2 linked regions of the Oryzias latipes genome follow. The protein of the gene in region 1 binds, or shares a complex with, the protein of each later gene. Links are inferred from orthologs where the notes say so. Each region holds a gene or a part of one and is shown on either strand. Other genes may lie near its edges.

What was found.
Region 2: the proteins of prkaa1 (region 1) and prkag1 are in contact, whole or in part, in a crystal structure (PDB 6C9H), measured with the Homo sapiens proteins. The link is inferred for Oryzias latipes from reciprocal best matches to the Homo sapiens genes PRKAA1 and PRKAG1. Residues at the interface, in NP_006242.5 of Homo sapiens: Ser295, Ser296, Thr297, Met298, Ile299, Asp301, Glu302, Lys305, Arg342, Glu347, Ala348, Phe351, Tyr352, Leu353, Arg369, His371, Pro372, Glu373, Pro376, Phe377, Asn449, Val451, Thr452, Thr536, Pro537, Arg538, Gly540, Ser541, His542, Thr543; in NP_002724.1 of Homo sapiens: His36, Asp40, Leu41, Ile42, Pro43, Thr44, Ser45, Val50, Leu64, Val65, Gly68, Val69, Arg70, Trp75, Ser77, Lys78, Lys79, Gln80, Phe82, Pro158, Glu159, Ser160, Gly161, Asn162, Lys170, Arg171, Lys174, Phe175, Leu178, Phe179.

Annotation. Positions count from the first base shown.
Region 1 is NC_019870.2:7,422,928-7,438,899, forward strand, and holds the start of prkaa1 (5'-AMP-activated protein kinase catalytic subunit alpha-1), read left to right. Parts: upstream 1-681; 5' UTR 682-795; coding exon 796-892; intron 893-3,725; coding exon 3,726-3,867; intron 3,868-4,990; coding exon 4,991-5,084; intron 5,085-5,366; coding exon 5,367-5,511; intron 5,512-6,440; coding exon 6,441-6,528; intron 6,529-6,622; coding exon 6,623-6,847; intron 6,848-9,774; coding exon 9,775-10,294; intron 10,295-11,712; coding exon 11,713-11,839; intron 11,840-13,846; coding exon 13,847-14,127; 3' UTR 14,128-15,972. UniProt on the Homo sapiens protein: Catalytic subunit of AMP-activated protein kinase (AMPK), an energy sensor protein kinase that plays a key role in regulating cellular energy metabolism.
Region 2 is NC_019863.2:4,029,699-4,045,749, forward strand, and holds prkag1 (5'-AMP-activated protein kinase subunit gamma-1), read left to right. Parts: upstream 1-4,838; 5' UTR 4,839-5,247; coding exon 5,248-5,316; intron 5,317-5,510; coding exon 5,511-5,562; intron 5,563-5,646; coding exon 5,647-5,747; intron 5,748-5,813; coding exon 5,814-5,895; intron 5,896-5,972; coding exon 5,973-6,031; intron 6,032-6,145; coding exon 6,146-6,191; intron 6,192-6,269; coding exon 6,270-6,324; intron 6,325-7,475; coding exon 7,476-7,602; intron 7,603-7,740; coding exon 7,741-7,906; intron 7,907-7,989; coding exon 7,990-8,027; intron 8,028-8,189; coding exon 8,190-8,336; intron 8,337-8,446; coding exon 8,447-8,546; intron 8,547-9,179; coding exon 9,180-9,190; 3' UTR 9,191-10,917; downstream 10,918-16,051. Other genes in the region: photoreceptor ankyrin repeat protein-like, read right to left, coding at 11,823-11,828, 13,930-14,699, 15,043-15,183, 15,259-15,388, 15,465-15,725. UniProt on the Homo sapiens protein: AMP/ATP-binding subunit of AMP-activated protein kinase (AMPK), an energy sensor protein kinase that plays a key role in regulating cellular energy metabolism.

The sequences.
Region 1 (15,972 bases):
AGGTAAAAGGAAAACATAAATTGTAATAATGTGCATTTTTTGTTTATTATCTGCTATTTTAATATGCCACTAATACAGGTTGCCTCTATACCTACAATAAATACATGAACCTGTAACAAATATATTTAATTCTAAAGGCAAATTAAAAAAAAAATATTTGCCTGTAAAGAAGAAGCTTTACATGAAGACAGGGTTAAAATATTTATTTTAAAAGAACTTTTAACATTAACTTGAAAATAGTAACAGCAACTTCAAATGATTTGTTCAATGAAGAAAATAAAAAGTTGAATCAGAACTAGGATTTCAAATATATATAAGAATCCAACATTGCAATGAGACCCCTTAGTTTATTCTACATTAGTCAAAACATTGTCCTCCAGGACGGGGATTTTAAATAAAACGTTTAATTAAATAATACTACTGAGGCTCGAATAAACTGAATTTACATATTTGACTTTTTCTTTATCTTTATTTCTTTGTTTTAAACAATTAAATATACCATTTTGAAGTAAAACTGTTTCATTTAATCCTTAAATACTCTACAAATTCAAATTGATCATTATCGTGGTCTTTTAAAGAAACTATCATAACGAGGTGGTGATAAAGTTGCAATTTCCGATCATTGTGTGTAGCGTTAAGGCATCATTCACCCGTGAATTCGACGAATCAGAGGAGTCGGAGAAGCCCCCCACCCCTCCCACCAAGCGAAGCCGAGCCGCCGCTGGAGAGACAGCGGAGTTGGTCCCGTCTCTGCCCCTTAGCGAGCAAATCCCGCTGAAAGGCCGCTGCGGGAAGATGGCGACGGACAAACAGAAGCACGAAGGAAGAGTTAAAATAGGACATTACATTCTTGGAGACACCCTCGGAGTGGGGACGTTTGGAAAGGTTAAAGGTACGTGTGGAAGCGTTGGCCTCGGCACATCTCAGCGAATGAAAGATGGAGCCTACAGGCGCTTTTAGCTTAGCGCCTACTTTAGCCTGCTTGGACGCTAACTTGTCACCACCAGGAAGCTAATCATAAATGTTATAATGCTGCTAGTCTAGCTTTTGGAATAATTAACTAATGCCACCTGATGTGCGCAACTTATCAACATTTTCAAACTTGTTTTTTTCTTTAAATAAAAAAAGATAATAATAAATCAGTTAGCATCGGTTTAAGCTAGCCAAAGAGCCACAAGTCGGTGTCAAGATATATACCGGGAGTCAAGCTCGTCAGCCCCTAACTCGGGATACGGTTATGTTTAGGATGTTGCCCTGTCTTCATCACCCCTCCCCTTTTTTGATTTTCGGATTGGCGATAAACGCAGAGTTTGCAATTTCACCTTTCCCCTGGCTGTGCGGCGTTTCTTAACACGCTTTTTCATTTCAGAGGCGGCCGGGCTTTTTTATGGGTGAAAGGGAAGTAAACGGGGGCAGAATTCACGCCCAGTTTTGTATTTTGGCAATAACGAGGCATGCAAGCACTAATTTCATAATAAAGCACATCTAAATGATTTACTCCGTGCAGTTATTGTTTGTATTTACTTTAAAGTATAATCCAACCGTGTTTTAAAAACGTATAAAGATCAGTTATTTGTTAAAAAATGAAGAACCACCCACTCTGTATGCAGTCGGTGTGTGTGTGATCTACACTTTATTTTCTGTGTCTTTTGGTCTATTTATTTGTTGTTGTTGTTGTTGTCCTCTATGTAGTTTTGACAGTGGAGTGTTCTTTGTGTGGATCACAGAGTAGTTTAATTGAAAAATATGTTTTTTTATTGCCATTTGCTAAGGTTTTTGGTAAAAATATGGACAAACGTTTGTCACAAGCCAGTGAGGTTGCCAAATTTAAATTCAGTTATATGTATGATTTTTAGGTGTGAAATGCGGATTATTTTTCAAACTGTTGTTCCTAAACAACTGTTTTTTGGATTTTAAGAAAAAAAAACATTTTTCCTTAACCGGGTATTCAAACTGATCAAACAGGAGTTTTCATTGAAAAGAACAAATTCTAGCCCCCCCCCCCCCCCCCCCCCCAACACCACACTAGCCCTTATTTAAACTAGAAACATTTTTGACCAACTGAACCATTTGATGCTGAGAAAAATAATCCAATCAATAAATAATATTAAATGTAAATTGATGTGAAACATTAACACAGTAGCACCAATATATTTAACGTTTTTAGTTTAAAGAAATACGTAAAAAAAAGTGCTGATTTTTTTTCTAAATGATCGATTATTTATTTATGATCTCAAAGAGTGCAGCTGTTTTCCTGCATTACCTGCTGTCTTTGTCAAATACTGACACCGACTAAACCACAGGCAGACGCAAAGAATACATTTATGGAAAATAAAGACACGGCATCAAAATGTCTACAATAGTTCATAAAGAATGACATTAGTAGCCTGAGCTGAGGAATCTAAAGGCATGTGATGATCCTGGTGTTGTTCAGCGTGTGCTGTTCCACCTCGCAGCCTGAGCCCACTACCCCTCCCCTCTCCTTCTCACACACGTGTGTGACAGGAGACGGGAGCAGCTGCAGGGACGGCGGTTCACAGGTTTCAGGCTGTTACAAACTCTGTGATAGAACAGATAATAGGAAACCAATAGTGGCGCAGATTTTTTCCCAAGCATTGAGCCGTTGTCACCACCACGCCCCGGGCATTTGCCCGTATTACCTGTGCCTAAAACCGCCACTACTGCGCGCCCCCCCTGGCATCGCATCGCCCCACTATTTGAGAAGCACTGCTTTAAACCAACATGGTTTCAGTAAATAGACATTGGTTAACCTTTATTTAAAACATATCTGGAAACTAAAAAAAAACGTTGTGAGAATTCCACAAAGATGCCTTTTTAGGGAGTTGTTAAGAGTGTGTCTAACTATGAGGGGGCATATGGGAAGACCTAGGACATTCTGGAAAGATTAGATCTCCCAGCTGTATCCTGGAAGAGGTAGCTGGGAAAAGAGAGGTCTGGGGTTCCTCGCTAAAACTACTGCTTCCGCAGCTCGAATCCTGGATGCCAGAAGATAGTTGTTGGATGAGTGGACACGTTTTTTGACGTGCTTGTATTTTAAAAGGTGAAATGATATCCCTTTGAGCCAGATTTGTGTTTCTCGATGGGACAACTTAAAAAGCAAAAACTGTTCTCCAACTCCCAGTAGTAGTTGCAGTATTTTCTTTGTGCTGCTTTAATGTCTTTGTTGTGCGGAAATATTTTTTTCTGATTGAATCTATCCACACGATCAAAGTTTTCATTTATTTCTATTATCTGAACGGGTTTACGTTAATAGCATAATTTCAGTAAATTCAGACTAAAGGTCAACTGCAGAGTTGGACGTGTTTGGCCCACATAGCCATGAAATGAGCTTGTTTTGATTTCCCACTTGAACTTTGAAAGACTTTAAAAAAAAAACTGTTCAGCTTCCTGCAGACTTGCTTCTCTCACCGTTTGGGGAAATTTCAATCAATCTATGAATTGGCATCAACAGTGACACATGCAAAAAAGGTCCCGTCTGGTAATCAATGAATGGATGCAGCTTCCGTTAGGAATGTTGGAACTTTAACAAATATTTGCGAAAACAGCTTATTTAAATAGAAGATTTTGTTTTTAAAGTTACTTTTTAATACTATGTTTGATAATATTTTGAATAAGTAATTCCTAATAACTGTGGCTTGTATTTTCCATGTAACTATTCTTAAAAATCCAGGATATTTATGACCTGTCATCTGTTTGTCCTGCAGTGGGCCAACATGAACTTACCAAGCATCAAGTGGCGGTGAAAATCCTGAACAGGCAGAAGATTCGCAGCTTGGACGTGGTGGGAAAGATTCGGCGAGAGATCCAGAACCTCAAACTTTTCAGGCACCCTCACATAATTAAACTGTGAGTCCTAGATTACACACCACGCACCGTTCGCCGCTCTCTAATCCTTCCGCCGCCACATTAATACCACTCACGGAGCTATTTTCAGACTTTAATAGTGTGTTTTAGACCACATCCATTTAGGACAATATCTGTGGACTTAAGCCTCTGCTGGTTTCGCAGAATCGCCTCGTCTTAGTGAATCATGTCTGACAGCATCATTCCTCTCTGTCTGACTTGTTTGCCCTCAATCTCAAATATATTACTGAGGAAATGTTCAGGTTTATTTTTGAATTTATAGCTTTAAATCACTTTTGGTATTGCTCATAACTTTTGTTTAAGCTGTTAATCATTTTTGTCAGAGCTCATCTGATCCAATTCCCTACCCGCTGGAGTGAAGGGAAGAATTTTCGCGGTCCAACCAGCACTGTTTAGCAAATGGCTAAAGGCTGAATGCTGGTTGGTCCAAATTTGCCTTAAAAGCTTGATGACAACTAACATTAATCACTCATTTAAACTGCACTCCCAGGACAGCACCCCAATACTTAAAAGGTTTTAAAAGTCTCGCAGGAGTTGAACTGCTGGTTCCATTCTTCCCCAGAGCTGCTCTTTGTCCATGGTGACCTCTGGGCTTTCCACAGCAGAGCAAAGTTAATGGACCAACGACAGAACACAAACAACCGAGAGGGCAGCCCCCTTGTTAGGATGTGCCACATATTTCTGAAACTACCCCCTAGTGGCAGCAACTCTGACAGAACAGCCATAGAACCATTTTCAAGCCCATAAATGGCCATTGCACGAGTTGGTACTTTAATTTTAGACTCAGATGGGTCATTTCATGAGAGAATGATGCAAACAAGCTGTAGAACATTGTTTATACACTGAAGCGCCAAACTTAACTTAATTTTGCCTTATTTCACCTATTTTTGATTTAATAAACATATTTTTTCTTTCCCTGTTTTTAAGCTTGTCACTAATTTACTGTGTTGGTCAGATTTTCACCCACCTTTCATCCTTTGAAGTTGTAATTTAACTGCTTTTTATTGTTTGAGCATTAGCACTGTTGATGGTTTTTTTTTTCATTTATCTCTCACCTCGGCTGTTTAATCCTCTTAATTAAACGTTTCATTTGTTTTTGCTGTAGGTATCAGGTTATTAGCACCCCCACAGATATCTTTATGGTGATGGAGTACGTCTCAGGGGGCGAACTCTTCGATTACATCTGCAAGAATGGAAAGGTAATTTGCTCTAATACTGGAAGTTGTCCTCTGTGTTAGTATTTAAATATAAGGAGGGATTTTCTACTTTTTTTAAGTAAATGTCAAACTTTATTTTTAAAGTAACCAGAATCCAGAAGAAGAGCTGCATGTGCTTGTTGTGATTGAGTAATCCTGACACAGTGTGAACCACAAAGTTGGCACTGGCTGTGGAAAAAAAAAAAAAGAAAGAAAGCATAATACCAAATGATTCTAAGTCAGCCGCGAGAGATCACACCTAATGGGTCATTTCTGCTTTAACAGTTGGATGAAAAAGAGAGCCGTCGGCTGTTCCAGCAGATCATCTCAGCTGTGGATTACTGCCACAGACACATGGTGGTTCACCGAGACCTCAAGCCCGAAAATGTGCTGCTAGATGCACACATGAATGCAAAGATTGCAGATTTTGGTAGGTATTTATTATTCCTAAAACCTGTAGTTTTGGTTGTAGTGTCAAGCATATCGGTGTTTACTATCAGTTGAGTTTACCTATGACGACATGAGGAAACCGCTGCTTTAAACAATATTTTGACGAATACAGGCTTGAGAAGAGAAGGAAGTGGAACTTTTTGGTTTGATTAAAAAAAACCTGAAGTTAATAAAGTTGTTGAATTCTTTATTAAAATATTTTCCTCTCCACACAAATGTCATAATGTACAGCTCACATGCAAAACACACTTTGAAGGTCATGTTTTCAACCGGAGCTATGCAGGAAATTAACACAAAGTTATCCTCATTATCTGTCCTGGAATGGTTTTGTCAAACAATCTCCATTCCGATGGATTATAGATATTTTTTTCTCTCTTGTGGCTGAAATGAAATGACTTCAACTTTTGTGTGAAGATCTTGAACTTTTGATGGCCGAAGCTCAAATGGATATAAATATGAAATGTGTTAACTTTATTATCTAACTACACGGAAGAGCCAAACCGTTTCAAGAATTTTGGCTGCTCTGGAACCAGCTGGAGGAGGCTGGATTATGGAAAGACTTGAAGAATAGTTTAATGATTAAAAATGGTGTAATGGAGGTCACCTGAAAGTCTCACTGCAATCGTCTTTTGATGTATTTTAAACGCCTTCCCAGTGGTCTTTAATTATGCTGGTTTTTGCCAAATTGAAAAAAAAACTGTAATTTTCTGGGACATAGTTTCTGCAGAGCAGCAGGAGTTCATTAGAAACGTCACAAATGCGCAATTTGAAAAAAATAAATACTCAGAAATGCACATTTTTACTTCATTTTCCTGAACACATTTAAAAGACACTTTCCATCGGAGTGGGTCTTTAACTTCTCCATCTTGTGCAGGAAGATGTTTCTAAGAGGATTCTATTTTCTTGCAGGTTTATCAAACATGATGTCAGACGGAGAGTTCCTCAGGACAAGCTGTGGCTCTCCGAACTATGCTGCTCCTGAGGTCATTTCAGGAAGGTAACATTTGCATTTCCTTTAGTAGAAGAAAGAAATATTGTAAATATCTTGTTGAGTTTTGTTCTAATTGTTGCTTTTTGTTATGTTTTTTTAGGTTATATGCAGGTCCAGAGGTGGACATCTGGAGTAGTGGTGTCATTCTCTATGCCTTGTTGTGTGGGACGCTCCCCTTTGACGATGACCATGTGCCAACTCTCTTCAAAAAGATTTGCGATGGAATCTTTTTCACCCCGCAGTATCTGAACCCCTCAGTAGTAAGCCTTCTCAAACACATGCTGCAGGTGGACCCGATGAAAAGAGCCACCATCAAAGAGATCCGGTAAGATCAACCAGGCTGTTTACAATATTTCGTTTAGGTAACATGAATTTCATGGTTAGTTTTGTCCTGAACCCTTTCTTGTAAGTCAATAAAACCATCTGCATTATAATCATTGACTGTATGTGAGAACTGGACTGAGTCACTCCTCCCCCCTCGCAATCCAAATATTAAGTACGTGTTGGTTCCAAGAACCCAAAACTTCTATTGAGAAGTAAATGGCTATTACTATTAGATATTAATCATTCTATTTGTCAGAATAACTATTCCTGCTCTGCTACCTTTTCTTTAAAAATGTTTTAGTTAATCCTTTTTTTTTTCATTCAAGTTTAAAACCGACCAATTGATGCCTCGATAAAAGTAGGTGGTGCCTGCTGGCCCTCACGTCGAACGTTCAGAACGTCTGATAAACAGATTTCATGTAGCCCGCCGCTTTCAAGTGAAAGGGGTGTGGACTTTCAATAAGCTCACTCCTGATTGGCCATAGAAATAAGGACACCGACCAACCCAGACCAATCACAGCTTAGTGACGTCGGGCTCCAACATGGCGGTGTCCATATCAGGAAAAGATGGCGTTGGAGCTGGAAGTAATCCATTTTCTATGGGTGAGGTCACACTCACTCAGTCCAGTTCTCGTATACAGTCAATGGTTGCAAAGTAGTCAACTTTATTTTTTACAAATATCTATTAAGGCTGTAAAACCCCTCACAATGCTCTTGATATACTTTTCTCAGAAATTCATGAACAGTTTCACACTTTACTCCTTTGTTTAAATTCTCAAAGTTGAAACCATAATAGACAAATAAATGTAATACTATAGAATGAAAACAAAGGTCTGATCAAAGATTTTGAAAACTGAACACGTTCTGGACAGGAGACACAGCACAGAGATTGGTTGACAGTAGCATGCAAAATCGCACACAAAAATCTGCAAAAAAAAAAGCAACATTGTGAGATAAACCACGATATTGCAAGGAACCAACATATAAATAAACTCTAGGGAAGCTGCTGTGTGGTGAATGCAGGCAAGCTCATCAATCTGCTCTATTGAATCCTGAAAGTTTTCTCCCCAAAAAAAGGCTAAAGAACTTTAATTTGTGAAACTTATGCAACTTTTTCCCAATTCCTGATCATTTTCTTCCAAGAGTTCCTAGATTTTTAGCCTCAGGGCCAAAGTGGGCCTCAGTTATTGGAGGAGGCTCTAGGAGGAGAATTGAGCCTCCCCAGAGGACTCTTGTGGCAGAGGCAGAAGCTGCTGACAGCTGCCTCTACTGCACACTTCCTTGATGGCTTTGATTAAACGGCAGACCTCGCTCACTTTAACACCACGTGACCCTGGAGGAATGTGCACTCTAGACTGTAGCCGACCTGTTGAGTGGGTTTGTTTCCTGTAAACAGTGCGCTCATGTTTTAGTTGTAACAGTGTTGCTGATGTCAGAATCACTGGGGGTTAAACCTCCGTTCTCTCCCGTATTTTCTGAGAGCGCTTTGAGTAAAATACACCTTAAAGACCCTTCCGGGTGCATTAGTGGGAGTCCTGTTTTGATCATTATTTTGGATCAGTAAAAAGGAAATAAAAACAAGAAAGAGGCCTACAATTAATGTTTGGAAAAGCTTCAAAACATATATTCAATTAAAAATATCAAGTACTTCAAAATGTATACACACACACACACACACACAAATGTTTGTAAAATATTTACAAAAACAAAAAATGAATAACATCTTTGAACTCAAGATATTCCTATCTAGAAAAAATACTCAGCATGCCCATGTAAACGAAGTGCAATATGACACATTGAGTCTAGAAAAAAAATGTATATATATTCAAAAAAATGAAGTCAGAATTTATGAGTTGACAGTCTTTCACTGTGTCCCTCGCTGCTATAAAACCCCTCCCACTGGTTACAGATGGGGCGGTGGCTTTCTACCGCCTGCTCCTGGCTGTGAGAGTCTCTGAATGATGTCAGGAACTCACACACAGAGACGTGCGCTGCTCATCGATGCTTTTGTAGAACTGATCCCTCATCATCCACGTCCTCCATGATGAAGTCGAGAAAAGCATTAGACGGAAGCTCCTCCCACACGCCACGGGGCTTTAACTTAACACCTTTTTGGACGTGTGTCAGGCAGGAACTAAGGCATGTTATAACAAAAACGGAGACATGGAAATTTAACACGTGAATGGCGTTCGTTGTGAATAGACGGTTGATTTAAATGATGCGGACACAAGTTGCACACGAGAAGCGAGACTGGGGCTTGATCTGTGGTACATGTGTGTGCCGAACCGTGGCTAGTGATGCGTACCATGATCCGTTGCACCCCGACTGATCATATTGTGATCTATTGCGAATGCATTCCCCAAGACCTCTCAGTTATGTGTGTGCCGTCTTTAGCCAAAACAAAAAAAACCTGTGTGGTTTTCTAGGAAATAGTTTCTGCAGAGCGGCAGGAGTTCAGTAGAAAGTTGTGAGCGGGAACGCTGGCATGGAGGAAATCCTGCCCCCCCTTACCTTCCCCCCTTGCTGAGAGCTCTCTGTTTACATGCTTTTCCACCAGCTCACAGCCCTCACACCCCAAACCTGACATTATCGGTGCGACAAAAATGGCGAGCAATAGTGGAGCTATCCAGCCATATCTTCTAAGCCAGATATGCCAGATCAAACAAGGAAAACAAAGGCGGACATGGATGTAGTCATCTATCAGAATAGAGCAGAGCAGGGAGTAGCATAACCAATACAATCTTTTTCAAACTACATATTTTTGTCTGCTCCTGATTTGCGATTTTATTGAAGAAATACTCAGAAAAGCAATTTTAAGCCTAATTCTCTTCATATTTTTCCTCCTCCATCAGAAAAATGCCATAAGAACATGTTATAGACACCAAACGCTCACTTTTTTGTAAATTAACTAGTGTGTGCTCCCCACAGGGAGGACGATTGGTTTAAACAAGATCTACCCAAGTACTTGTTCCCTGAGGACCCCTCCTACAGCAACAACATGATAGATGACGAGGCCCTGAAGGAGGTCTGTGAGAAGTTCGAGTGCACAGAGGAGGAGGTTCTGTCCTGCTTATACAGCCGCAACCATCAGGATCCATTAGCTGTGGCTTACCATCTCATCATTGACAATCGGCGCATCATGAGCGAAGCCAAGGATTTCTACCTGGCGTCCAGCCCTCCCGACTCCTTCTTGGACGACCAGCACCTGACTTCCTCCGCCGCAGCCGTGGCTGGCGTTTTAAAGCCCCACCCCGAGCGGGTACCCTTCCTCGTGGCGGAAACTCCGCCCAGGCCCCGCCACACCCTGGACGAACTGAACCCCCAGAAGTCCAAGCACCAGGGCGTCCGGAGAGCCAAGTGGCACCTGGGGATCCGTAGTCAGAGCCGACCCAATGACATCATGTCGGAAGTGTGCCGCGCCATGAAACAGCTGGATTATGAGTGGAAGGTAGGACGTCCCTCTGAGCGGTGTGGGGATGGGTTCCTGCCAAACATGTCTGCACGCCAGATGGACACCTGCTAAATGAAATGGCCACTACTGAAATGTTGTTTGAACTCCTTAGCTTGTTGCGACTCAAGCATTTTAAAATCCCAGAACCTGTAACATGTTCTGACCCGTTAAATCCACACAATCTATTTTTTTAATGAACAGACCTTCATCCTGATCTTTGAAGAGGTTCTCTATCCATCTCACCTAACTCAAGAATCTTAAGATAAAAATCTGTTTAATAACAATTTTTTTCCTAGTTGAAATTAAGTTTCTAGCTTACACACTAAACGAAAAAGAACCTTCATGCAGAAGATCCCACAGTGAGGCCAAACATTAAAGCTTAACTACAAAACGGTCAAATTTAGGAGAGAAATTTTCACTTTTCCTTCATAAAAAATATATGTTTCCTGTTATTCTGTGGTCAATATGCAATATTAGTTTCAACAAACATCAGTTAGCACAGATTTTCTAACATAACTTATTAATAACAATGTTAATAATCTTGTCATCAGGTCTGAAAATCATTACCAGTCAGTTTTAATTTTTTCACTACAATATGATTTTTTATACGATTTGATTAAATATTTATTTTTTTCCTAAAATCAAATTTTTTTTCTTAGATTTTTTTTTGTTTGTTTTGTTAAAAACTTATTTAAATTGAACAATGATGAAACTTTTAACAATAAAATAACAAAATCTTATATTAAAGTTGACACACATTCTCTTTTTATGCTTTGCTTCCCTAAAAAAGAAAGAAAGTGGGCTCATGGATTTGACGATTGCATTTTTTTGTTAGCGAGGATTGTTTGTTTTTTTTAACCTGCCACTCATTGCGATACAGTAATGTCTTTTTAAAATTCAGTCTGAACAACCTTATAAACCTGAACTTCCCCATCTGTGTTTTAGTGATAAACATCCACATTTCTAGAAGTTGGTGTCAGTTCATCCAAATGAAAATAGACTGACTTAAATAAAATTGAATTAGCTCAGCAGTTAGCTTTTATTTAATTGGCCTTGAGAAGTTGAAGTAATTACTGTGACCAAGACCATAATTTAACAACACACAGGGAAATTTCCATAGACATGTTTTAATATTCACACAGGAGGCTGTTGTGAGACTTGAACTAATCATCTAGACTTTTGAATCTTACATTTTCAGTCCTGAGGAAATGCATCACCTATATGCAGGAACTCCGAGTGAGAGATGAGAATTCTTTAAAGACTGCTTTTAATGGTGTCCGATAAACCAAACTCTAGTAGTCTTGATATCATTGGCTGATTACATTATGTTAATAAGCCAATACCTTGAAGAGGGATCACATATGTCAGATTGTCTTCATCAGTGAGCTGATTGTTTTCTCGTTGGATGTTCTCAGGTTGTGAACCCATATTACCTGCGTGTGAGAAGGAAGAACCCCGTCACAGGGATGCTAACCAAGATGAGTCTTCAACTCTACCAAGTGGACAGCAGAACCTACCTCCTCGACTTCCGTAGCATAGACGGTCAGTTTCCTACAACATTCTTTCAAACAGGAAGTGTGTAGATTAGGCCTGCACAATATACCGCAAATTTATCGTTATCGCAATTTCAAGCTGTGCAATATGCATATCGCAAAAGACAGCAAATTTGCAATAAATGGTTACCTTAGATGTGGCCAAACAATCTTATGGCAATTTGAAGTGTTTAATGGAAAGAATCCCTTTCTGCATTTGACCAATCAGATGGACCCCTTCACGTTGTTAACTAATCGGATGGCGCCCTATTATGTTGTATGTTCGCCTCCTACGTCAACAAGGGTCATTTGTAGTATAATTTTTAAGCACTTGTAATGGAATGGGAATAATATTTTTGGTTGTTTTGCTAATTGTTTATATACCGCAAATTATATCGTTATCGCAATATTAATTACTAATATCGCATATTGCGAGTTTTCTTCATATCGTGCAGCCCTAGTGTAGATCTTTATTTTCTTTTGTTTATTTTTTTTACTGTAACTAAAGTAAAAAAAAAAAACAATGCAGACACACACACTGTAAGAGGACAAACAGGGAGGTGTACAGCTACTGTTGTTTGCTTTCCTTTAAAGTAAGGGAAAGTATGATAAAATGAACCCTTCTAAATACATCTATTTAATATTTTAATTTCCAAAAACAACAAATCTGCTCAATTTGCCCTACACTTTGATTCAATGAATATTTGCTGTCATGTTCAAACCAGTTCGACGTTTTTTGATTTATGAGTCTGTAAAACTTTGACCTTTCACACACTTCTTGGTCATTTATCAGGCCATTATCTGTTTATAAAAAAGACGCATTCTAGGAATATTTTGTTTTTGTTTTTATTATTCAGAGCTAAGATTTTGTTTAAATACCTGAATGTTTTTATCTTCATCTTTTAGTTTCAGCTTTAAAATATTTTAGAAGAACCAAAGCTACCTTTTGGGTTTTATTTCTTTTAAGAAAGAATGGCCTATAGATTATTTTTGTGGATGTTTTTGTAAAGGTTATTTAATAAATGTTTGTGTGTTGTGCTGCTTAACCCTTCAAAGGACAAAATATGTTTTGAATGTCATCTGAAGTCACAAAAAAACAGCCAAATGTGTAATAAAAGCCTGTGGAGAGGGTTAGGACTGGATTTTTTTTAAAAAAGATTGTTTCTCTTTAGCTTAATACTTGAACATTAAGACAAATGCAGCTCACAGACTGTGCCGAACGTTTCCCTGGAATCTGTCCTGTGGTGTGCTGCTTCGCCACAGACTTCAGAAATGATTGACTCGGAGTGGGGAGATGTGGGAGCCTGTGTGGGTGTTTGGCAGTGGCTCACAGGAAAATGTGAGGTGGGAGGGGTTTTGAGCTTTTGGTGTGACACAAACGAACCGTGTAAAGTTTGAGCCCTACACTCCCATCAAGTTCAGCTTTATCACTAAAGTGTAGCTGAAGGCTTTAGTAAACACACTTCCAGGACTCTAACCTGACATACAAAGGGTTTGTTTGTTTTTTTGGAACTCTGCAGATGTTGCTGACAAGCTGCTAACTTGTAATATCTGCAACCAAGAATAATAGATCAGAACTATTATAAGACACACTCTGATGAAAAATTGTGTTTTTAATATGTTCTTGCGCCATTTTTATGATGATGGAGGAGATTTAAAAAAAAAACTTAAATTGCATTTCTGAGTATTTCCTAATTCTAATCGTTGTGAATCAGAAGCAGACAAATAAATGCAGTTTGAAAAGATCGCATTTGATATGTAGAAAATATGCTTTGTGGGCTACGAGCTCGCTGCTCGCCGACGGTCCCGCCCACAACTCAAACACGAATTTCTAAAGAACGACTACTGCTCTGCAGAAACTGTCATGTTTTTACATTTTTGGCTAAAAACTGCAAAATCATAATTGATGGAATACTGGGAACATTTGAAAAGCTGTAATTAAAGCTTTCAGGGAGCCTTTAAGCATGTTTTTTTGGGCAGGTTTAAGAATACAACCTTTTGTGTTTGTCTTATTCAGATGAAATTTTGGAGACAAAGTCTGGGACTGCAACCCCCCTCCGCTCTGGATCTGTGGGCAACCACCGCAACACTACAAAGAACGATGCAGAAGGAGCAGATGTTCCGGCAACATCTGCCGCCGCGCTACCACCTAAGACCGCCGAGGGCTCCTTAGCTTCATCCCTGACCTCGTCCATCGACTCGACGGCGGGGGACAGCATGTCTGTCCCCCGACCGGGAAGCCACACCATCGAGTTCTTTGAGATGTGCGCAAATCTTATTAAACTACTTGCACGATAGCTTGCAGAACAATCATAGCTAGCCTTTTCTCCTCTCTGAGTGTCTTTATAGCAATAAGCATGCAGCCGATTCATGGCTCAGCTCATCCTGGCTGAGGATGAGGTGACTCCTCCAAGGCACCGATGCAGGTTGGTGTTCCCTAAGCTTAAAGGGATGTAGGAGGAGTTTTTCTTAAAGGTAAGGGGGAAAGAATAACAAGATACTAAACTGCATAGGACACAAAAACACCAATTATCCTAAGGTCTTACAGTTTTTGGATCAATTCAGACCTAGATGTCCACATCCCATCTCTAAAAACATGCGGAAGTGACGACACTGAACGTTGTGTACTGTTGCCAGGGAGCAAGATCACATTTATGCCTGCAAAGAAGAAAGTCAGTTGCTGGGGCTGGATGGTTGAGCGGCAGTCAAAAGGATGCAGGAAGCACTTTTGCACAAGTTTTTGTTCTTACTTGCTGCTCGTGTTTATTTTTCCTCTCAGTGCGTCTCAGAAATGGTGCGGGTGTTCCAGGGCGTCGCTTTCAAACGGCGCCCGTCATTTTCATCGGACTCTGAAGAAGTGCAGCGTTTTTCTGCTGCGTGTCAGGGACAAAAAAAAAAAAAAGAATGCTTCATCTTTTTTATGTTTTTTTTTTTTCTTTTGTCGATCTTAAATGGCAAAAACTAAATGTTCATGTTTTGTCCTTGTTGTAGACAATTGTTTGAATTTCTCTGTCCCCCACATTTTTATATATATATAAAGACATGAATATATTTATCAATGCATTAGGTAGATTGAGTGTTGGTTCTAAAAAGATTTAATTTTTTTTTCTTTCTTGTATTATAAGCTCTATTGCTGGATGGTAAAAATATCTATTTACCTTTTTTTTTCTACTGTTTTTAGTCAATTTACAATTTTGCTTTTCCTCAATCACAACTATTGTGACACTTGATTGTCTTTCAAGAGAATTATAGTTGATTTCCATTTAGGAGGTGTCATAACACAAGAGACCTAATCCAGATGTGCATCTTTTTTTAATTTTTGTTTGGGGTGCCTCACTCTAAAGGACCGGTTCATTTCTACCTTTTTGTTGTCATTCCTTAATTACATTGGAATACAGTGACTGAGTGAAAATGCCTTTTGCTGACATTTACTTCACAAATGCCAATCTGTCCCCTGAAAGCCTCATTGGGGGGGCTTTTCTATTTTCAAGCTGACTAGTGATCCGAGTGCAGGCAGAAAAATACATCCATGACTTTTCCACCTTTGAACATATTCTGATTGTTCACGCATTCCTCTGAAGGCTGACCTTAATTAAAGATTTACCCATGCTTGTAACCTGAACTTGACCTCTGAGTTTGGCATTGGCAGGTGCTGTTAAAATGATAGAAGCAAAGCACACAAACCCATTAAGATTCTTATCCAGCGCCAATTCTTAGTTTGCTTTTATTATTATTATTATTTTTAAATTCTCATTCTGTTTTCTGTCTCCAGTCTTACAGGTTTAAGTGATGTCTGGCTGCCTTATCATTATAAGTACTGTTTCATCACTTTTCAAGTCTAAATTTAATTGCTGGTTGGGATTTTGCAGTTTTAAGAGTCCTCCACTTCTCTTGTTAGTGGAACTTTAGAAGCCATGTTAGGAATGGATTTTTTTTTCTGGTTAAAGCACTCGGCATTTACAGGAATGAAAGAGGGAAGTCCTGACTGCAATCAAAGCAACACTTTGCCAAACTATGGAAGACGACTGCAACGGCGAGCAGGTTTTATTATGAAACACCAAAGCCAATTGACAGTATGAGTTAAATTAGTTTCTCTAGTTTTAAAGTTCCCTGTAATGAACCTGGTTTTAAAAGAACTTTGCA
Region 2 (16,051 bases), on another chromosome or scaffold:
TGATGTCAGTGTAACAGAAAAAATATCAGAAATGTGTTCTGTAGTCCACCGGGTCTGTGGTGTGGCCCACATATCTGCCTTCAAGGAAAATTGGGCTGGTTTTCTATAATTTAATAAGTCATAACTTTTACATTAAAAATATATGCATATCTTTATATATATCTTTATATTTAGCAGGTGATCTCTACCAATTATAGGTTAGCCTTTTATTTCTGAAATTAAGATGTTATCAGATCGTATACATCAGAACAATTGGGATTACATGGAGGTGGATGATTCACTGTTATCCTTAACGAGAGGAGCAAGAAGACAAAGTTGACGCATTCGAATAATACAAGCAAAGAGGAAGGAATATAAAGAGCTTACTTCAGAGTAGTGCTGTGCAAAGTCAGAACAAGAAAATCTTTTCTCACAGTGTACCTGGTTTCCTGCCCAAGTGTGCCAAAGGGCCTTTGGGCAAGGCACTGGAGCCCTCCTTATCCCTAGGGCATAACAGCTCTGCAGCAGCTGGTTGGTATGAGAGTGTGTAGATGGGACTAAAACAGTAAAGTTAATAAGGTGGAAAAAGACATAAAACCTTATTCCATCAACACAAGAAAAGACAGGAAAAATGAACAAAGCTCTTAGTTAAAAAGGTTTAATGAATGAGCAGGTTTATTAATTATTATTATGTGGAAAGAAAAGGAAAGTGTTCAATGTCTGCAGTATGCTTAGCTTTGCAGCTTCAACAGAGATAAAGTCAAGAAAATGTGACAAGATGCAATAATGTTCTTTGGCCTCTTCCTGTAGTTAAATATGAAAAATTCGTAGTCCTCTCAACAAAACGATTGAAAACTGTTATTCTTTCGACTTTTCTTTTGAAACGATGTGATGATGTAACATGCGTCCCTGACTTCCAATCCTTCGCCTTCTTGGGATGAAGGTAAATTACATCACAATTGGATTATGGAGCCATTTGTAGACAAAATAGATCCATGAACGTTTTTGTTTTCCTCGTCTGTGCTGGAATTTGCTTCTAAACTGTACAACTGGAAAGCTTCAGTGTTACTCATTGTTTTTGTTGCACCGCTAATGTTAGCTCTGGCATTTGAAGGACTGTAAACTAGAGTGTAAACAGATGGATGATGGGAAGTGGAGGTAGACTTACTCCACGCCAATGGTCCCACCCACAACTCAGAAGCAACTTTCTAATGAATTCTTGCCACTCTGTAGAAACTATGTCCTAGAAAGTGCCAGGTTTGAGGTGGTGTGAGTGCAACAGCCAACATTAAATGAGTATGTGACGGACAGGGCTGTGGGTGGTAGTTTGTCCCTCATGGAGTACCATAGGCCAACATTCATGGCCACCACCTGTCTGTTGAGCTGTGATTGGCCCATGAGGCTGATAAATAGCAGCTGTGGGAGTTGTTTTTTTAACTCAACTTTATTGCACATTATGCCATTTTAAAAGAATGTACTTTTAGGTATGCAATAAAAAACACAACTGCAAATATCAAATACACATCTGTAACATACAGAAGAACAAGAATAGAAATAGAAATAAGCCAGGGGGTTAAACTCTACGAAAAATACTGAATCTATCACATACATACAATGTTCTGATTGCTTTTTGCTTCTCTGAATTTCGAATACTGTTGATATACTGATTTAACTCAGAAACGAATACAGTGAAACAGGGTTTTCTACCAGAAAATTTACATTTATGAACATGGAATTTGGCCAAAATGAGTAAAAGATTTAAAAGTAAACAAGAGTCCTTTTGCATATTTTTTGATATTAGACCCAACAAGACATCTTTCCAAAATAAGACAAAACAAGAATCAATTTTATCATTAATAAAATCACATATCTTCTGCCAAAACACCTTAACTTTGGGACAATACCAGAAAAGATGGATAACTGTTTCAGGGGAATTACAACCAAAACTACAAAGTGTCTCAATGTTTAATTTAAATCTGTTTTGTATAAACATTTTAGCTGGATAAATTTTATGGATAATCTTAAAAGAAACTTCTTTAACCTTATTAGTGATTAAAAATGTATTGGGTGTTTGCCAAACCTCCTTCCATGCAATGTCTTCAGCAAACATGTTCCTATAAGACATGCTACGAGGTAGTGAAACAATGTTCGTTTGAAATAATGTTCTTATTGCTTTGGTTTTTTTCCTGGGATAACCGGTCAGACATATTTTCCCCACAGGAGTATTTATGGGAGAGAGTAGAAAAGGCTCCTCAATATTAACTCTGTGTTGGAACTTAAACAGCATGCAGACACCAGAGGGAATAGCTCCAAACACTCTAGCATATTCTAAAGGTGGAACAGGGAAGTTAAATTTAGATAGAAATTCCTCACAAGTTAAAAGTAAGCCCTGATTGTTAAATAAGTGATACACAAAAATAGTCTTATTTCGAAACCAATGTTCTATGAAGAGTGATTGATGTTTATATAAAATGTTCTTGTTATTCCAGATAGAATATTTGTGAGGTGAAAAGTTGTGTTTGTATACAAGGGACCATGAAAGGAAGGCTTGGCGATAAAATGCAGATAACTTAAGTGGGATTTTATATACATCATAATTACACATGAGAAAGAAATCAGCGCCACCAATTTTAGATAAAAGATGAAGAGGTGTAGTGTTCCAAATGGAGCTGGGATTTCTAAAAAGTTGTTTTAGCCAATTCATTTTAAATGTGTTATTCAAGGTAGAAAAATCGAGAAAATTGAGGCCACCTTTGTCACAGGAGTTCATGAGAACATTTTTTTTAAGTAATGGGTTCTGTTTTTCCAGATGAAATTAAAAAGCATTTTGTCAATTTATTTGATAATTATATCATCCACATGTAAAGCCAAAGCTGCGTATGTTATTATGTTGCGTAATACCTTCTGCTTTGCTGAGTAAAATCCTACCTCTCAAGGATAGATCTCTGGAGAGCCACTGATTCAATTTCCTTTGCGTTTTTTCTATTAGTGGGTTACAATTTAGGGAGCTTCTTGCATGTTGGTCTTTTGGTATTAAAATGCTTAAATATTTCACTTCAGATTTAACTGGAAGATTATACAAAGTGGTAGCAACACATTCTTTAATTGCCATTAATTCGCATTTATTGACATTCAAACAAAGATCGGACGCCTTTGAAAATGTCCCAATGACGTCAAAAGCAACAGGAATTTGCTTTTCATTTTTTAGAAAAAGTGTAGTGTCATCTGCAAGTTGAGTAATAATTAGTTCTTTGTCAAAGAGATTGATGCCTTCTACTGCACTGGATTTAATGTGATCTGTTAACAGTTGAGAAACTAAAAGGAAAAGACATGGAGAAACAGGACAACCTTGCCTAATTCCTCTCTCTAGATTAAATCTGGGAGAGGTGCCACCTGCTAATTTAATAGAGCTGTTAAAAATTTGGTATAATGTAACAATAGCTGAACCAAAACCAATTTTTTTAAGACAATGCAAAATGAATTTATGTTCTACGGGCAGCTGTGGGAGTCCCAGCTAGACGCTGGTTTCCTGGTTTGGCCTTGGTGAGTGATCTTGACATGTGGACCTTTTTAGTAGGGATGGGAATAGAAGCCCCATTAAGCCTCATTGGGGTTCATGTAATTGTGCCAGAAAAATAAACCACCCAGTCAGGGCTTTGAAACCACACAGAGTGGTGTCCTGCTCCGGTGCTCCTCCTCTGTTTTGTGTTTTCTTTTAATCACTGTTGGGGTTGTGGTTTGTTTGTGTGTATTGCGGCCCTGAACAGGTACTCCTGATGAGGGTTTGGATTGGAGATCTCCCTTGGGGTTGTTGGTGGCTATCCACTGGTGCAGTGAGGCTGAGGAGTCCCTGGAGGCAGCCGCCCTCATGCAGTGTTGGAGCGCGGTCCAACTGTACGAGTATATTGTAACCTTCAATTTTATGGAACTTGTGTCAAGTTTTTAATCACATTGTATACTAACCACTACCAAATCCAGTCTCCATTTGGGGTGTAAATGTAAGGGCATTCGGTCACAAGTAACAAAAAAAAGAAAACAACCACTGCATGTTTTATTTTAAGATTGAGGACATAATTTATTCCAGAAATGTAAATGTGTTCTATAACCGGTCCTTGGGTCTTGGCGGGCCGCACAGAATAAATAACTGTCATCCGTTTGCTTTATTTCGGAATCTGAAAGATGTTTTATTTTGAAAAACTGCTCGATTCTGTTACACCGTCTATGTCACTTGGACGCAGGCCAAGGCGCTCTTCTCGGTCACGTGATGGGTTACCGCTAGAATAAAACCCAGGAGCTAACAAAAGGAGTAAAACAAACTCCTTTGGAAAGTTTATTTGCCAAGGGGAAAGGGGCCAGCCAGGAGGCAGAAGAGGAGCCTTCCACTTCCAAAAAAAAAGCTACATTTGATACAGTACTTCTCTTTTGCACCACGAGAGTGGGAAGGGGAGAGGATGAGACCTGTGCGGTGTACGACATGTCTGTCAAAATAAAAGCTTGGTGTTCGTAATGTTAATGTCTCCGTTCCTCCATAACTTGCCTACAAAAGTGGCCCGCCACATCTTAAAGACCGTGTAAGTTTTGAATGACGCCATACCGGTCCGCGGCGTTAAAAAGGTTGGGCTAGATTTGTTTGTGTACACTTCAGACACCGATTACAGCGACTTCGTTACTGCGCATGTCCAGCTCCTCTGGTCAGAGCGGAAATAGATTGGCGCGGCGTCCTGTCACCCCGGTCAAAAGGAGGCGAACGGGCAATGGAATATGGATTGTGTAAGTGATTGGCTCTGTTTATTTGGGCACATTTAAAAGCCTACTCACAATATGCTCCTAACTCATCATACAATCATTAAAGCCGACGTTGGAAACAGTGCTAGCGTTAGCTGCTAGCTACGAACTTATTTTTCACGTTTGTTTTCGATCTGTCGGTTGTGTGTTTAGAAATCTCCCTATCTGAGGATTCGGCCTCGGAAACGGTTTATTTACGGGTATTCAAACATGGATAAACGGGTTAAATTGTAGTAAGCATAATAAAGACATTCTTTAAAGTCTTTGAACCAATAATTAACTCGAGAGGGAAGGTAAATGACTGACACAGACAGACCGTTAGCTAACAAGCTAACACGTTAGTGTAGAGAAAACCAGTAACAAAGGCTCTTAAAGTACTTTCTGCATGTTTATAACCTGTAACCTCGTCTTAAAGTATATCTATTCATGAACATCTTCTCAGGAACTAGTTTGTTGTTTTGCGTGGCTTCTCCTGGTGGTTAAATGAACAACGTCGGACCAGTTTCGTCAACGGAAATTGTTTTTATTTTACAAACGGGTAAATTAACAAATGTAAGTATATATTTATTAAAAGAAACTTTGACATGGTGCAAAATACGCAGGTGTGTTTCAAATAATCATTAACATGTTCACTCCGGTTCTTTGGTTAATCCAGTTATTTGGTCAGCCATCCTAACCTATGATTTTGGTACAGTTGGTATATTTTAAACTGCTCTTTTTATTATTTTATGTAATTGTTTCCCCAGATTCCAGTAACTATTGATGATCTTGAGGGCAAGAAAGACCCCGTCATTGAAGGTAACAGACTTTTCTGTAGATCTTATGACTCTGACGTAGACTGACTGAGGTGTGTTTTCATTTTTGTTTTGATCAATTCTTCAGACTCCGAACACAATGCGTACACGAGGTTTATGAAGTCTCATCGCTGTTATGATCTTGTACCTACCAGCTCCAAGCTAGTTGTGTTTGACACATCACTTCAGGTAAGAGAAACCTTTTAATCCATCAGATGAACACTTGAACGTTGGTAACTGTCAATAATTGTGCAGGTGAAGAAGGCTTTCTTTGCTCTCGTGTCCAATGGGGTGAGAGCAGCACCTCTGTGGGACAGTAAGAAACAGTGCTTTGTCGGTAAGATTTGTTTTGTTTGTTGGATTTCAGTTCAGTGAATAAACATCTTTATAGCTCATGTTTTTTTTCCCCTACAGGAATGCTTACCATCACAGACTTTATCAACATTCTGCATCGCTACTACAAGTCACCATTGGTAAGATGGTTTAGTCCGCCAGTGGACGAAGCCTTCAAATGTCCAACTTCAGCTGCAAGACTTCTATGTTAGTTACAGTAGCTACTTTCTTTAATACTCTATTTACACTTTCAGGTTCAGATTTATGAACTAGAAGAACACAAGATTGAAACATGGAGAGGTAGGAATGGTTGGAACAAGTTTTGCTGCATAGTTATTCTTACGTTCACTGCAGTAAGATCTTTTATGTTTCCAATAGAACTGTACCTTCAAGACTCCTTCAAACCTCTGGTTAGCATTTCTCCCAATGCCAGGTGAGCAGCAGTAGCACTTTAAACCTTTGTGTTTTTTTTTTTTTTTTACTTTAAAGTCTTGATGAGTGGGCAAACAATGTCTTTTGTTTTTTTGCCTATATTATACTATCATCTTTTGATCTATTCTCAAAGCGTTCCCAGTGGTCTTTTAATTGTGACTATGCCATTTTTAGCCAAAGTCAACAAATCTTCTCTAGGACATAGTTTCTGTAGAGCGGCAGTAGTTCATTAGAAATTTGCCTATGATTTGTGGGTGGGACTGTTGGTGTGGAGCAACCCCGCCCCCCTTCCCCTCCTGGTCGCTGAGAGCTTGGAGCAGGGTGCTTGTGGCCGCCCGCCCAGGGTATTTTCAACGTCACACATACGATCTTTTCTATGCGTCGCTTTTTTTGTGTCTGCTCCTAATTCACAGCAAGTTGAATAAAGCAATACTCAGAATAGCAATTTTGAGCTTAAATTTGTCTTTATATGTGTCTTCAATCATGAGAAATGCCACAAGAACATGTTAAAAACATCAAAAACCCAATTTTCATTGGAGTGGGTCTTTAAGGTGGATCTACAGCTGAGGCGTTCTCATAGAAAATTGCTCATTTCTAAGCCTTTTCAGGGCCGGCATTGGGAATAGCACTGGTAATTGAATAGGTCATCTCCGGAACACTGATGGAATAGTTTGACATTATCTTACCCCAAAAGAGAAACTAGGAAATGGCTTGACATGTTTGTTCAGGGATTCCACTGTAATCTGCAAATGCCTGAAAGCAATAGGTTCTTGACTGGGCTCTGTACTGAACTATGTCAGAGTTTTTGAAAAGGTAATCTGGTAAATGGTAAATAGTGTATAATTGTATAGCGCCTTTCTTCCTACAAGGACAAAGCGCTTTACAGTCACAGACCCATTCATCCAGTCACACACACATTCACTCACACATTCACACACTGGTGGTGGATCTGTACCTTATTAACCCCCAAAAATGGAGCAATAATGACATGAAGCTATATTGGTGGCTGCTATTCCAAATTTCAGCTTACGGTGGGCTTGTTTTTCACACTTCAAAAGCTTTAGCTTTATACTTCTTTATGTTAGCATCTGTCATTTAAAAAAGTGCTGACCAAAAAGTCTACATAGAATCTCACAGGATTTTTTTCCATAGCTTGTATGATGCAGTGTCATCTCTACTGAGGAACAAGATTCACAGACTGCCAGTCATCGACCCCCTGACAGGGAACACCCTGTATATACTCACACACAAGAGGATTCTCAAGTTCTTGAAGCTGTTTGTGAGTTCCTCTGAGGTCGTCTTTACCCGAGTTTCACATTTTACAGCAGTAATCTACTGTGGGGCAACAACTCTTTTTGTTAGCCTGGCAGCATTTTTCCATTGTTTTCTTGGGATGGTTATAATCTGTTGTTTTCAGATATCAGAGATGCCCAGACCCTCATTCCTGAGTAAAACCGTGGAGGAGCTGAATATTGGAACATTTAAAAACATAGCCATGGTGCGTAAAGACACACCTGTGTACACAGCTCTGGGTATTTTTGTTGAACAGCGTGTGTCTGCACTCCCCGTTGTGGATGAAAAAGGTATGTGGGCTGCTTAAAGTCATTTCTCTGTTTTTGCAAGTTTTCTTTGTTCCGAGGTCTGATGGGATGTCTCTGCTTTGCAGGACGGGTGGTGGACATATACTCTAAATTTGACGTTATCGTAAGTTAAAACCTTTCCCCTCATGCAGCATGTTCTGTTTTGTCACAGCTGTGTGAGAACCATGTAACCACTCTGGTCCGTCTTGCTTCTAAGCGCTAACTTGCGGATATTGATCAGTGAGGAAAGTTAGGAAAATTGCCAAATCAAGGTGTCTCTGTGCAGAATCTGGCAGCAGAAAAGACGTACAACAACCTGGATGTGACTGTAACCAAAGCCCTGCAGCATCGCTCTCAGTACTTTGAGGGGGTTCTGACCTGCCACATACACGACACCCTTGAGGCCATCATCAACAGACTGGTGGAGGCGGAGGTAAGGCTCGCTTTCCACTTCCACCCAGTTCTGACTGGAAATGTAGAAAAGACGTTTTTGCTTTCCTGAAAGGAGTATTCCATAAAAATGGTCTTCCTCTTTTGTTCCAGGTGCACAGACTAGTTGTGGTGGATGAACAGGAAGTGGTCAAGGGAATCGTCTCCCTGTCAGATATCCTCCAAGCACTAGTTCTAACTAACAAAGAAGAGTGTAAGTACAGTTTTTATTAGAGGTGTAACCATTCGTTTTATCAATGATTGGATTCATATCATCATTTGTGGTTGACGATATGATTCGTAGTCCATATCGGTTCATTTTGAATGATCCAATTCTCTGACCTAAAGTGGATCCAGGACGTCTTTATCCAAACTTCCAGCAGTGAGACTCAGACAGAAATTCCTGCTACTGAACAGTGAAGTTTTCCAGATTCTTGGATTTCTTCCAGATCATCAAGTGGAAATTAAATATGTGTCCAATCAAACAAGTAAACTAGAATGAATGTCACATCCATTCACGTTTTAGTTTCCTGCCCACTGTTGTTTTTTCACGTCCAAAGAATCCATGTTATAATAAAATAAACCTACCTTACCTCAATCCAGATGCTATTTTCCAAAATTGATATAATTGATTTATTTGAATTAGAAATTATCTTATAATGGTATTAGTCAACTTGATGAACAATTTGCCCCAGACGGATGGATCTGGTTGGATCGTAGGACCACAAATTAATTCACTGAATAATTGATTAATCGTTACACCCCTTGGTTTTTGACTATCAATACAATGGAATGTTTTTTGTTTTGTTTATTGATGGATTTTTACTCCTGATCATTCCATCTACAGGTTCAACTTAACATCTGATCATGTTTTCAGAAGAGACCAGAGCAAAGGGAGAGAAAGGCCACGCATGTGAGAAGGCTCATTTGAAATGTCTAATGTTTGCAGCTCTGCTCTCTCTGCAAAAGTCTGAGGTTGATCATGTCTGATGATGTCACAATCATAATAATCATAGTAGTACTGACCTGCCTCTTGGGGGAGCCTAACTCCAAAGCTGTGTTCAAACTCTGCTGGTTTGGTTTGTTCCAAACCTGGAGTTTGTTCCTGCAGCACACACAACTGAACACTAAAAGAGCTGTCCTCCAACAGCCGTCAGATGGATATGCTAATGCTAACATCTGCCTCCCCTTCAAAGTTTCTTCTAAGCACAATAAACTTTTTTTCTTCTTCACTGAGCTGCATTATTTTAAAATTTGTAAACACTTTAACCACATTTTAAAGTCCTTCAGTTAAAACCACTTGAGAGTTGCCAACATGACAATGTAGCTCACATTAAAATGTGCACAAAAGAGCTGCAAGAATGGGAGCACTGTGGCTCTAAAAACACCCTTTAGACTTTTTTTAACCTGAATGATGTTAATTTAATCAATAATAATCTCTTTGTTAGATTTGAATATGTAACAATATTATTCCATTGTTAGCATAATGTAGTATAATCTACAAGTTTGCACACATTTGACTTTGAATATGACGTGACATTTACTCAGCCTACATGAGAAACAAACCTGCGCTCCTGCAGAACCCCAAGTACTGTGAACGTTCAGAATTAGGAAACGGCTCCGCATCAGATCAGAACTAAAGGCGGTGAGGGGCGGAGGGAGACGTGTTAACACACCTGAAGTCCACTTAAGGCAGGTGAGGATGTCAAAGCACAGTTAAACTCTGCCCTAAATGAATCCACCTGCTGCTGGGATGGGAATCAATGAACATATCCATGGATTTGTTTTTACCCAGCAATGTTTTTTTTTCTTCAATTGGCTCATTTTTAGAGAAGAGAAGGAATAGATTTATAATCTTAAAAGATGGGACTGTTGCAGCTTTAAAAAGCCCTTCCAGTCAGAGACGCTTCTTAACGTTTTTCTTTGAATGAATCTTATTTCATTCATGAATTTAGTTGTCAGTGTTGTCAACACGTCTGCCTTCAGAGTGACCTTGTAGGAAGTTCAAAGTTCTCCTCTATTTCATGTCTGTCATAATCTACAACAATGACCAGAACATGACGGGATTGCTAAAAAAATTACCCAGCCATTTAATTTGGGAGTTAGTATCTTTAAGAAAAAGATTTTGTCATCATCTTGTAAAGCTACATGTTTAATGGACTGTTTGTTTGTTGCTTTGACTGGTTTTTTTTTTTTTTTTTTTGACCCGCATTTGGGGTTTTGTATTTATATTGTCAACACTTTACATCGTTGCTTCAAAGTCTAATGTTTGTGCAAAACATCTTTTTGGTCAAATTAAGATTTTGTCGAATTATACAAATAGAGATTTTTTGTCAGTCAATAATCCATAAAAAGTCATAAGTTTAGATATTACAGGTTCTTTTATTTGTATTTTCTTTTCTGTACTCCAAAGTCACCACAAACCAACACGTCCTGTCATTTATTGTTGTCATGAATTGAAGACGGAATGCAAACCGCTCTGTAAATTCACAGGTTTTGTTCTTATCCATACTGAAGCTCCAATTTAACGACAAAGCAATAAAAAGTTATTCATTGGCATCTTTTAAATGCATAATATCCTTAAATCTTTGCCTCTTTATTTTCAAGTTTGCACTAACTCTTTCAGGAGTTTCTGTGAAAGCTGAGTTAATGCACACTATGACTGAATGATTTCCCTACACAGCCTGCATAGGATGTTCCATTCAGCACAGGCCTGCAAAATTAATCCCAGATTTATCGTTGTCGCGATTTCAAGCTGTGCAATGTCCAGATCGCAAAAGTCAGCGAAAATCACAATAAATGGTAAACCTTAAAGGTGCTAAAACAACTATTTAATGAATTGAATAATCCCTTTATGCATTTGACCAATCAGATGGAGCCCTTCACGTTGCTGACCAATGGGATGGAGCTTTTATGTTAGATGTTGCCTGAGGGTCATTTGGAGAATAATTTAAGGTATTTTGACTCTTAGTTAAATTAAACTTTTGCCGGGAAATGGAAACGTTTTTTCTATTTGTTCATTTATCGCAAGTTATATCGTCGTCGCAATGTTGATCACTAAAATCGCATATGGCGAGTTTTCCTCATATCGTGCAGCCCTATTCAGGAGTCAATTATGCAGAGATTAGATTCATAATTCATAACTGCAATAATTACACAAGGGCAACGTTGTTAATGCTCCTCAGTTCAAGTTTCAGAATGGCCACAGACCCTGATTATAGAGCAGTTCCTTAAATGACCACTAGAGGCAGCACTTTCACTTCACTCTTATGTTAAAAGGTAAAATATTACACACTTGTTTGCAAAAACTTGTTTCGATGTTTACATTTTGTTGATTAAAACCGAATCTGAAGCTGCTTTAAATTTTTATTAGAATTTGATTTGTGCACAATTAGACATGTTTTTGATTGATAGGTAAACAGAGTAAACTTTCATTTTACTCTGTTCCACCCCATCAAACTTTAGGAAATGTTCTGTAGTCCTTCAGTCCTCAGTTCTGCCAGAGAGGACAAAAAAGCATTTATAAAGAAACGATAGACAAGTTTCGAATCACTAAAGTGAAAGATTTCCCTCCATCATTGTCTTATCCTGAGACAAGCTGAGCACTGTCTGTGGTTAGATCCAACCTTTCTTTGTCTTCCTGCTTCAATCAACCATTTTGATTTTTTCAGACCATTAAACAGAATCTAACCAGGCGATCAAGTTCCCATATTTAGACCCACTCCAATGAAAATTGTTTTTTTTGTGGTGTTTTTAACATGTTACTGTTTCTGATAATAGAAAAAGAAATATGTAAAGAAAATTAAGCTCAAAATTGCATTTCTGAGGATGTCTTCATTCAAATCGTTGTAAAGCAGGAGTAGACACAAAAACATCTTATTTTGTGTAATAGAAAATAAAAAAGGCAGTTTGAAAAAGCTTGCAGCAATGATGTAGGTGCTCCAATCAGCGGACCACAAGCTTCCTGCTCCGCTCCATTCTGATCATCCACTTGGATGATCGTCTTTGTTTTCCTCACTACCTGCTTTCCTCGTCTGAGCTGGAATGTGGATCAAACCATGTCAGGTTAGGGATGTTAGGGACTGGAAGCCAGCAGCATGTTAGCATGGGGTTGCTCCGTGCCAACAGTCCCGCCCACATTTGTGATTTTTTTTTTATGAACTCCTGCCGCACTTCAGAAACTATGTTTTAGAAAATGACACAGCATTTGGGATTTTGGCTAGAAACAGCATAATCATAATTAAAGACCACTGGGGAAGCTTTGAAGATAGATGAAAAGATGATCTGAGTGGGTCTTTAATATTAGAATGACATTTTTAGATTCTAATTAGGGCCTAAATCATTAAAAAAAAAGACATTTGAATGTTTTCTTTTAGCTCTAACTACGATGGTCCTGAAGTTAAAATCAGATTTAAAAAAAATCAGCATTACATTTTAGAAAACAAATGTAAAAAAACTAAAGTAAATTCCAAAAAACAAAACAAAATGTTAGAAAAATGAACCCAATAAGAAACCGGAACAAGAAGGTACAACAGACATCTCTGACTGTATGACGATATATCGCTTCATGTCTAATTACTTTCCATTTGAAATGATGGACAGACATCATCCTACAATCAGCAATGTCCCATAGTACCTACCTTTGTGCTTGTTTTAAATGTTTCATTTTGTTTAATGGAAATTTCTTTTATTTTCTATAAATTTGTATCATATTTATGTTTTGGTTTCTGGAATTTTATTGAGTTTCTCAAATGTGATGCTGATTTTTTAAAATATTTGTTTGACTTTTTTTGTTTTAATCGCCGTTGTGGTCTTTAAAATGTTTTTGCGGCTAGCCCTTTTTTTGTAATGTTATTTGCACTTCAGGCCCAGCGTAGGTAACAATAATCCATGATCTGTGCATCATCTTTACGTTTGTAGCGCACAGGTATGAACAGGAACAGCAGCAACACTGAGCAGCTGAAGCAAAACTAAAGCCACTAATTTGAGTTCAATGAATTCAGTAAAACATTTTAACGTTTGGAGTTTACGACTAAATGATCAACAGTACTACAATCTACAGTCCTGATGCTTTGTTTGGTCTCAGACTGGTGAATTGAATCTAGCTGTGTCATGTTTTCTTTTTCTATGTGTTTATTTGGGACTTGAATCAGGATAAAACTTTGGACTCAACATTCACAAACAGAACACGTTTTAAGGGCACAGTATTGGCAGAATCAAATCACACTTTTTTACTTGCTTATACTGCATGAGGGTTACAGAATAAAGATCTAGTCTTTAGCCATGTAGCAAAAGGAGCTTCAATTATTCACTCTCCCTAAGGAAACATTATATATTTGTACAAAATGGCTAAACACAAATGGGTTCTTGGTCCATATTATGCAAGTGAATGTGGCATAGGCTTATGATTACATATCTTTTTGTCTGAATAGTCAAGCATGAATCTAATGTTTTTGCCATGATCATAAAAGTATCAACAAAATATATAAATTAAACTTTTTTTTCTCATAATAAACACGACGATAAATAAAAAAAGACTTGTTAGAAACCTATGCTTTGTTCTTCTTACAGTCTTTCTTTTTCTCTTCTTTTTCAGCTTTCTTCTTCTCCTTCTTTTTCTCGTCCTTCTGCTCCTTATATTTCCACTTGGGGGGTTCCAGATAGCCCTTTTCCTTCTTCTTCTTCTTCTTTTCCTTCTTTGGCGCTGCATCTGCAGGCGTGTCCACGCTGATTTTAGGAATACACCCAGAAGGAAACACGCTGTTCCTCCTCGCCATGCTGCGGGGAACAAATGCGGTAGCAACCTTGGTGGAGGCCAGAGAGAGGATGCTGCCCCGCCGCTCGGTGTCGGGGCAGCATGTGGCGGCCACGGTTTCTGCTGAGTGGATTGAGGGGAGGACGTGGGACGCTGAGCCAATGCTGTGGCACACGGAGCTTTCTTCCAGCTCCTTCAGAGAGTGTTTTTTCAGCAGCTCTGCTACAGCCAGTCGCCTCTTTCCCATCTCTGGAGGACTTGTGGGGCAGAGCGGCCGGCATCCCGTAGAAATCAGAGGACTGTGGACACTGGTGGTCATGCGCACCATGTGGTCCAAGACCCCATTGTCCTGGGGATCGCGTGGAAAGCTGAATCCAAACGTGTTTTTGATTCGTAATGTGATTTTCTCTGCTGGACTTTTCTGAGCTGCGGCTTTGGCCACTTTCTCCCTGAGCTCAGGCCACTCGACCACATAGTTCTCACAGAACTGCTCTGCTTTTGGCCTCGCCGCGAGGCGCCGGAGACGATGAAAGGTCTCATAGCGACCAGTTTTGAGGGCCCAGTCCCGGGCACATTTTCCACGGGTGGAGTCCACTGCATGTATGTCTGCTCCTGGATGATGAAAATCAAACAACTAAAGGTTTTTTTCTCAACTATGGGACATTTACGTTCAATGTGTACAGTAAAAAGGTTTTTCATAGATTTTTCGGTAACAAGTAAACTAAAAATAAGCAAGTGATTTAGCTACAACTAACCAGGATACTGGTAAGCTTGAGATTACTGGATGTATGTTAAGATGTGATAATTCCTTCTGAATGATCCCTTAAACTGATCTTGGGTCATTGGCTCCTGTACTCTGATCACCAGAGGCAAACATGGCCTACAATGAATCTTGTATCTTAAAAGTTGAACGTAAGAGTGACAGTTTGTGGGTGGGTTTCATGTTCTTACACACCAGCCATAACAAGTGCAGCCACAACATCATCGCGGCCCGTCATCGCCGCTTTGATGAGGGCTGTGAAGCCTCTGCAGTCCTTCACTTCAGTGTCTACTCCAGGAAAGTAGTTCAGGAGATACATGACTGTGCTAATGTGACCTGCAGCGGGACAGATGTTCAGCCTCACAGTTGGTAGATTGCACTTCTGATGATGGAGCAACTGTCACTGTTCACCTGCTTGAGACGCGATCATCAGTGCGGTGTTTCCCTCGTTGTCTTGGTGATTTATGTCTACAAATGGACAGTGGTGGAGTCCGTATACGATGTCGATGAAACCTTTGGAGCAGGCCACCATCAAACAGTTCTGCAAGTAAAACCATTGAAGGCCGGTCAGTGACTCTGTCAAAAGCAGAATGTCTCTCAGAGGATTAAGCTCTCACCCTGCCATTGTTGTCAAGCTTCATGACCGCCTCCTTGGAAACTCCTCCCCCCAGGATTTTCTGCAGAGAAATGGCATCGTTGCGCAGACAAGCCTCGTACAGGCTGGAAGCTGTTGGGTTATTTGGGATTTCTGGTGTGTAGTCTGGGAGCACAGAGTCATCAGAGAGGATGCTGTCGGCGTCCGTGTCTCGTCCTGATGCAGGAGAGTCGTCCTCATCAGGACCCGAGCCCAGATGTGGGTCGTCCGCTACAGAGGCCATCTTCCAAAAGAACACTGGCCTCTTCCTTTACATCTAAAAATATTTTACAAACAGAAACTGATGAGGCAAAAACCTCTCCACAAACCATCCATGACTTTTGCAAATCAGAGGTGTCAAACTTGTTGGTGTGTGTCACACCAAACAGTGCACCAGGCTTTAGATTTGGCACGTTGGCGAGTCACAGGTTGACTGCAAAGGGTGACTGGAGTCAGGGATTACGATTGTGTCTGACGTGTGGCATCATGAGCTCAAAAGGCCACTTAGGTGGATCAGCAGTAACTGTGCTGCTGCGTTTACGGCGCAGCTAAATGAAGAACAGCCACCTC